Linked DNA regions of Macaca mulatta. The protein of the gene in region 1 interacts with the protein of each later gene in a biochemical or structural test. Links are inferred from orthologs where the notes say so. Each region holds a gene or a part of one and is shown in the gene's direction. Other genes may lie near its edges.

The links.
Region 2: the proteins of CD6 (region 1) and ALCAM form a complex in vitro, tested with the Homo sapiens proteins (4 studies listed by BioGRID and IntAct). The link is inferred for Macaca mulatta from reciprocal best matches to the Homo sapiens genes CD6 and ALCAM.

Annotation. Positions count from the first base shown.
Region 1 is NC_133419.1:13,100,006-13,104,364, reverse strand, and holds the start of CD6 (T-cell differentiation antigen CD6), read left to right. Parts: upstream 1-1,320; 5' UTR 1,321-1,543; coding exon 1,544-1,592; exon of another isoform or gene 1,593-4,300; intron 4,301-4,359.
Region 2 is NC_133407.1:178,103,290-178,107,107, reverse strand, and holds part of ALCAM (CD166 antigen precursor), read left to right. Parts: intron 1-779; coding exon 780-892; intron 893-3,197; coding exon 3,198-3,333; intron 3,334-3,440; coding exon 3,441-3,574; coding exon of another isoform or gene 3,575-3,578; intron 3,579-3,818. UniProt on the Homo sapiens protein: Cell adhesion molecule that mediates both heterotypic cell-cell contacts via its interaction with CD6, as well as homotypic cell-cell contacts. Promotes T-cell activation and proliferation via its interactions with CD6.

The DNA of each region.
Region 1 (4,359 bases):
TGTGAACTCCATGCTCCTTGAGGGCAGGAATATGGTTTCCTCTCTTTCGCTTCCACAGAGTCCTGTCCAGAGTTCTGCACACCAAATCTCTGTAAATGAATGGAATTGCATCTGGGAGCTTGAGGCACCCATGCAAACCTGTGCTGTCAGTGACTTCCACCAGAGGGCAGTGGCAGCAGGTGCCAGCACTGGGGCAGGACTGGGCGGGGTCTAACTCTGGGGGCACCTGGCTCCCCGTGGCTCCAATACTTGCCACATCAAATGCATACACCCACCTTTAGGACCGAACCCAATGGAGGAGGACCCCTCCCCATTCCACATGTTGGAGAAATGAAGACAAGCAAGGATGCAGGAAGTGGAGGGCCAGGAGAAGTGGACCTGGGATGGGACCAACTGGGGCAGGGCCAGGATTTGGAACCAAACCTCTTCTGCATTTGACCACTTCCAGGGTCCTGCTTGGACAACCGAATTATCTATTCCTTTTTTCATTCAAGAAACATTTATTCGCCTCCTACCATATGCTCCACAGGGAGTACCGTGGTGAATTAAACACACTTGGTCCCTGCCTTCTTCCTATAGCGTCAGTCTGCTGCACTGCAATGGGGCAACTTGGGGTTTCTCAGCAGCCCTGGGCTTCCTTCCTCTAGCCCTTCACTCCTGCTGTTCCTTCTGGCCCAGGGGCCTCCCACCATTGCTGCTTATCAAAAGCCTGCTCAGCCTTGTAGACCCAGCTCCCATGCCTGACTCCCACAGAGGCATGCCCAGTCTGGTACCTGGAGATGGGAGAGCTGGCCCCACTGTGCCATCTGAGGGGGCGGCTCCCACAGGGCCTTGGCACCCTTCCCTGTAGAAGGACTTGTGGGATGGTCATCTCTCAGGCCCTTCCCAATTTATGTTTCTCTGAGGGGAGACTTAGGCTCTTATCTCCAAAAGTGCATTAAGACCACACCCTCCTTCCCAACCTCCATCGCCTCTAAAGTTAAGATAAAACTCAGGATTTAATCCATGAGAGCCAAATCATGCAGACCGGGACAGGCAATGCCAGGACCCAGAATGACAGGGTCATTCCCTCCCTCTTCCAATAGGTACTGATTGAGCAGCTACTACATTATCAATTTTTTCTTCTGGGCCACCAGAAATGAGGCATGGCCCCTCCACTTGCCTTCTTAGAATACCCTCGGGGAAGTGTGTCTGCATGGATGTGTGTGCATGCTTGTGTCTGGCTCCGTGACTCTTGGGGTGCAGCCTGGATGGGTGGGCTCCCAGCACCGGCAGCTGGGGCTCTCCCCACCAGCCCCTGTAACAGCAGCCCAGCTTCCTGCAGACCAAAACCACAAGCAGAACAGGGAGGCGTGAGACACTCACAGGTTGGGTTTGATCGCATGCGTGTCGGAGGGGAGAGAGCAGAAAGACACAGGAACAGGAACAGCGAAGGGCAGAGCAGACCTGCGCCAGGGGCGCACAACGGCCGTGTCCACCTCCCGGCCCCAAAATGGTGCTTCCCACAGGCAGCCGCGTGTAGCAGCCAGAGACAGCTCCAGACATGTGGCTCTTCTTCGGGATCGCTGGATTGCTGACAGCAGCCCTCTCAGGTAGGCCCCCTTCCCTCATCTCCTGCCACTAGTGCTGGAGGAGCCAGATCCAGCCCTCTCAGTCCCCTTTCTGGTTGTTTGCCTGTGGTCACCTTTCTGGGATCTTTTAGCCAAGACTATACTCAGGTACCAGGGAGCTCCAGCATCTGGGGCTGGGATAGGACACAGGAGCCCCTCAAGGGGATGGGGCTGTGCCTGGGCAAGGCGCCCATCATGAGAAGCCTCCTGGAGTGACAGAATGTGGGAAGCATACTTTGTGCCTTACCAACAGGTCCCCAGGGTGTGAGGAGGGAGGTGCCCCTCCCACCCTTAAGCTCAGGAACTCCCCCATTTCCTATGTCTTGCCAACTCTTAAGAAGGAACCATTCACCTTCCAGAGAGGCAGGACCATTGACGGTGGTACTTTCCATGCTGAAGCTGAGGCTTGGGGTCCAGCAGGCTTAGGCCAATCACAGGACAGCACCCCCAAAACAGGACTCAGGGAAGCCAGGGAGAGTTCCGGACAGCCAGGCGCTGATGGCTTCGGCACAACCAGTTGGGGTCGTCTAGGGCATAAGTGAGCATGAAGGCCACCCCCACGTCTCAAGCTGTCCCCAAGTGACAAGGCACCTGGCCACCCGGGCCAGGGAATCAGATGACCAGAAGGTTTGGGGCACTGGACTGTGCTCCCCAGATACTTGCTGGCCCCTGTTGAATGCAGGGTCCAAGCTGGCCGGAGCTGGGCAGGGGCCTGGAGATACAAGAGGTCCTGACCCCATTGAGCTCTCACATTTTGGGGTTTGGGAGACCGGCGTGGAAACAGAATTCTGGGCCAGGGGAATCTGGGTCCACCCTGCAGCCGGGGAGCCAGATGCTTTCATTTTGTGATGGGGGAGACCCAGGAAGACCCAGTCAGGAGGGGGCATCGAGCTGGCTTGGAGGACTGGGTATATGTTGGGAGACTCTGGGCAGGGGGTGCCCTCCTCTCTGCCTTGATCTCCTCTCCCTTGCCTTGATCTCCTGTGTTCCAAGCCCGTGGCCTCATACTGGTTCAGGCAAAGCCATTCAGCTCTAGGAGCTGGAGTTTGTGTGCCTTCGGCTCTGTGCGTGTAGCTTTGCCCTGCTAACTCTACCAGGACTTTCCAGAGCAGCAGCTCCGGAATTTCGGCTGCCTTCTGCCCCTGAGCTGAAACAGACTATCCGAAAGCGGCCCCCTTTCCTCTTCCCCATGAAGCCCAGCCACAGGCTCCAGAGTAAAGTCGGGTGGGTCCAAAAGATCTTCCCTGACCCAGGGCTTCAGACCAGCTCCTTCTCAGCTTCCCAGTGGGAATGAGGGCCAGGGGCTGAGCTAGGCATTGGTGCCCTTGGCGTCCGAGCCGTGGCAGCTGGCCCAGCAGCCAGCCAGGAGAACTGGCTTTGAATGGTGCCCACAGGAAAGGCGGGAACCCAGAGACCCGGGCAGAGCTCAGGGAGGTCAAGCAAAGTAGTCCTGGAGCCTCCAAGCTCCTTCGTTCAGTGTGTCCCGCCCTGGCAGCTCTCGCCCGACTTGCTCCTTCCCAGTATTGTCATCCACTTTATGTTTTTGAAACTGTGTTGATATTTACTTGACTCACTTGTTGTTATCAATGCAAGCTCAGTTTTGAAAGGAAACTTTACATCACTGTTATAAGTGGAAAATCAGTATCACTTGCCATAGGTGAAAGGTAAAGAGAAACATAAAAACAAATGGTGGCAAAACCCAATTTCTATTACGCTTTAGCAAAAAGTGAAAAGATCGTGAAGACCCAGAGCTCGTCCTCTCTGTGAAAGGGGTGACGAGGGAGGGGAGAGGAGATGGCCTCCTGGCTCTAGTAGCTATTTTCTTCTTGACTTTGCAGAAGGACTGAAAACTCCGTGGGCAGGGAATAATTTCCTCACTCTGTGATTTCAGAGCATTAAACGCGGCTTCTGTAAACTCTCCCGAGGGTTGCTAGAGGTGTATGTCCTACTGCTGAAAAATATGGCCTCTCCAGGCAGGAGGAAGACGGCACCTTCAAGCAGCCCCCTTGTCTCTCTCCAGGGCTGATGCAAGGGACACTGAGCTGCTGCACCCCAGGCCTGCCTCAGCTTTTCTTCCTCTGTGTCTGGCTCAGCAGGCCCAAACCCTAGCAGAACCCAACCTCAGAGGGCAAGGTTGACCCACATCTGCTTGTGGGGAGTTTGTGTTCGGCCTAACATATTGGGGAAAGGAGACTAGGACCTCCAAGGAGAAAAAGAAGGAGAAAGAAAAATGATGGCAAAGAGGGAGGAAAGGGAGCTGGGAGAATGAAGTGCGTATGGAAGTTCCAGGCCTTTACCCCAAGAACTATTTTGGGGTGGGGCTCCCTGGCTCTGCCCTGGGACCACAGGCAGGTGGAATCCTGCCCTCCTTTGCACTGGCAGACCTGGCTGAGGACTTGCTGTGCTCGGGCAGATCTCCCCTCTCCTTCTTCTTCTTCTTTTTCTTTTCTTTTCTTTTTTTTGACAGAGTCTTGCTCTGTTGCCAGGCTGGAGTGCAGTGACCCGATCTCGGGCTACTGCAACCTCCGCCTCCCGAGTTCAAGTGATTCTCCTGCCTCAGCATCTGGAGTAGCTGGGATGGCAGGCACGCGCCACCATGCCCAGCTAATTTTTGTATTTTTAGTAGAGGACTTTACCATGTTGGCCAGGATAGTCTCAATTTCACGACCTCGTGAGCCGCCCACCTCAGCCTCCCAAAGTGCTGGGATTACAAGCGTGAGCCACCGTGCCCAGCCTCCTTCTTCCCTTT
Region 2 (3,818 bases), on another chromosome or scaffold:
CCTTTCATCTTTCAACAAATATTTCTTGAACTTCAAATCAGTGTCAGGCTTCCTACTAGGTGCTGATTTCATGGACTGTGTGTTATAGTTAGCATAGTACCTCTGCCTCATTGACTTGTAAGCTCATTATTTATCTCTGCATCTCTCATCAGTGCTTGCGACATAGTAGCTGTACATTAAATACTTGTTCAATTGAGTTGGAATTTTCTTATACAGATCAGACTATGACAGTAAAATTTTTATAAAAATTGTTTTCCATCAACTGGATGAGAAATGGAATCGCACTTTTTAAACATATCTGCTACTATAGTCAATTCTCTCTGAAGAAACACAACTACTATCTCATGGTATTTCGATTTATCACCTGCTGTCTAAAGATGCTTGATTTTCCAACGTTTATGCCTTACCATCTCTTTATGTAATATTTACCTAGTCATCATCTTTCTTTATTTTCTTCCAGAAGTGACTTAAGATTTTTTTTCTTAAGGTGATAGACCCAAGGGGAATATTTATGTCCCCTCAAAATATCAATCATATTAACTGTAAATAAATGGATAATCAATTAGATTGACCATTCTCTTGTCTAAACTAGTCTCAAAGCTGGCTTGAAAAACCAGGCTAATCATGCTATAGTCCAATTATTTCAGTCCTATAAATCAGTTCTGAATGTCCAAATGCAGTTTGAAGAAATGTATTTTCTTTCATCTTTTCTTCTCCAAAATATTTTGACTATTTTACATTTCAGAGTTAGCATTTTGAACAGATTTTCTGCTTCACAGATTTGGATTTGTCCTTAAACCCAAGTGGAGAAGTGACCAGACAGATTGGTGATGCCCTACCCGTGTCATGCACAATATCCGCTAGCAGGAATGCAACTGTGGTATGGATGAAAGTAAGTAATATTTTTGGTACTACCCTGCTGTTTGGATTGATTTATTTTTAGGTTTCTTATGCACTTTATATTGTATTCAAGTAGATACATTCATGGATGTGTTTATATACCAGCTCGCTCTCTCTCTGTGTGTGTTTCTGATAAGATAAATAAAATAACAGTAAAATTTTAGAGGTGCTCATCAACAGGGTGACATCCATAATTGGTGTTCTGAAACTTAGTTTGGGGTGTTATGTCAATTATGTGTATAGATTAATTATACACACACACCACACACATGTGTGCACATACAAACATAGTTATATACCACAGGGCTTAACAATTTACAGTGTGGTTTTGCCCACATTATCCTTATGTGATATTTACAACAACCCTGTGAAATACAAGGATTATTATTTTCCCACATTATTCATATAAAGAAATTGAAGGAAAAGAAATCAGAAAGCTCATAACTGACAGAGACTCAAGGCCAGGCCTTACTGAGTACAAATACTATGCTTTGATAAGACACCTTTTTTGTCTCTCTGCAGCTGAGACCACTCTTAAGTTTCTGAAAACAGATTCCACTGGAGCAAGAACTCCTAGAAAGGAATCCCTTTTATCCCTGAGCTACAGTAGAATACCTGGAACATACTAGGAGTTAATTCAGTATTTCCTGAACAAGTGCTTACACTCCTGTAATTGTCTGAAATGTAGGCCATTGGCTATCCTTTTAGAATAAGGAAGTGTGACTGATAATTGGCGATCTGAGACAAGGTTATCACCAAAAGAAAAGGTTGTGTGTGATCCCTCCACTTAAACCCTTGGCTAGTATATCCAAACTCCCAGTGCATTTGTTACCAGAGCATGACATGTGACAAGAATCCTTAACCCTTGATGGGTTCAGAAAACACACATACCATTTGAAATAGGAGTTGACAAGAATTACCTTTATAAGAAACTGTGGAGAAATATTTTTTCTAGAGTTTCTTTTTAATGGAAATATATTAATGAAATTATTTTGTATTGCTTTACTGCCTGCCTTTTGATCCCTTTTAGCACTCAATCCTCTGTTACTTGTTGTGTTACTCTGTGAGCTCAGTTTCTTATTTTACTCTCAGCCACAGCGTCATCACAACTTGTTCACTAAAATAAAGTGCCACTTCCTGTGCTGCAATCTAGCATGATATGTATATAGTAATCAGTGATCACAAGGCTAGACAAGTTCTAGGCAACTACACTAATTCATAATCATGTGAACACTCATTGCGTATTTTACTATAGGACTAGAGAAACTAAGTTTACTGTGGCTTACACTGTTTTTACATCAACTGCAATCACTGTTATGAATTAACTGTCATGAACAACTCATATATTCAAAATAGTGATGATCAGTATTCCCTGATTATTGGTTAGTTAATGAGGAGTGGGAAAAAATATCCTAATGGACAAAGACCACATAATCTTAGGATCGTGCCTAGTTGCCTGCTTAGGAGCATTTCAATTCCTGACATAATGGGATTATTTTCTGTATATCAGGCAAGTTTTTAAAATTAAATGTTACATTTCTTTTGTTCATAGAAATTGGAATAAAAGCATTGTAGAGGGCATCACATGGTGAGCGGGCAAGAGCATGCCAGCTCAGCTCTCTATTCCTCTTCTAATAAAGCCACCAGCCTTATCATAAGGGCCCCACTATGATAACCTTATCTAATCATAATTACCTTTTGATGACCCCCACCTCCAAACATTATCAACGTGTGATTTTGGTGAATTAAGTTTTCCACACCAAATTTGGGGAACACATTCAAACCATAATACTCTATAATAGGTCCCCTGTGTTGATAACTGTATCAACAGTTTATGCGTTTGATAAGTGTATGAAATGACTTTCTTGCATGTATGCTCATCATTGGTTAGGTACCGCAAGTCTCCATGTCTGTCAATCCTATATCACCTACACGTACTATAAGGAGTAGGTACTATAAACTGAAAACTCCCCTTAATGTAAGCACAATATATTATTTGTATAATTAAGTCCTCAAAACAATTTAATTATGGTATATTATTACCCCACTTCACAAACAACGAAACTTGATTCTTACACGTTTATGAACACTTTCCAAATTATAAATTCAGTAAATGAAAGAGCCTGAAATAAAAATCTGGAAAAGGAAATCTATTTTGAAAGCATGTGAAGTTAAGAAAAAGAAGTTTGCATTTTTATTATTCCCAGAAGAATCGTTTTAGGCTTAATTATTATCTAATAAATACATTGAGAGTTTTAATTCTGCCACATGAGGTAATTTACTTTTTATTTAATCAGGATAACATCAGGCTTCGATCTAGCCCGTCATTTTCTAGTCTTCATTATCAGGATGCTGGAAACTATGTCTGCGAAACTGCTCTGCAGGAGGTTGAAGGACTAAAGAAAAGAGAGTCATTGACACTCATTGTAGAAGGTAATAAAATACTTGGGCACTAACTCAAATTATTCTTTGAGAATTTTATACCTGGTTTTTTTATGATCTCAGTTCAACATCTTATTTTAATTGTAATGATATTTTAGGCAAACCTCAAATAAAAATGACAAAGAAAACTGATCCCAGTGGACTATCTAAAACAATCATCTGCCACGTGGAAGGTTTTCCAAAGCCAGCCATTCAATGGACAATTACTGGCAGTGGAAGCGTCATAAACCAAGCAAGTATTTGTCTTCTTGTTACATGCTGCACTTTGTCCAATGTGGTTTTTTTTTCTTCACGAACTTACGCTGTAGGTTGGTTTGTTACCACATAAAATTTGCAGTACATGCTCAGAGGAAGCTTTTGCTAACTTCTTAATTTTCCCAAAGGAAGAACATGGCTCAAAGAGAAATTTTATCCCAGGGCCATGGAGAAGGGAGGAACCACTGTGTCATGGTCAGTATCTGTTTTTAAAAGAATAT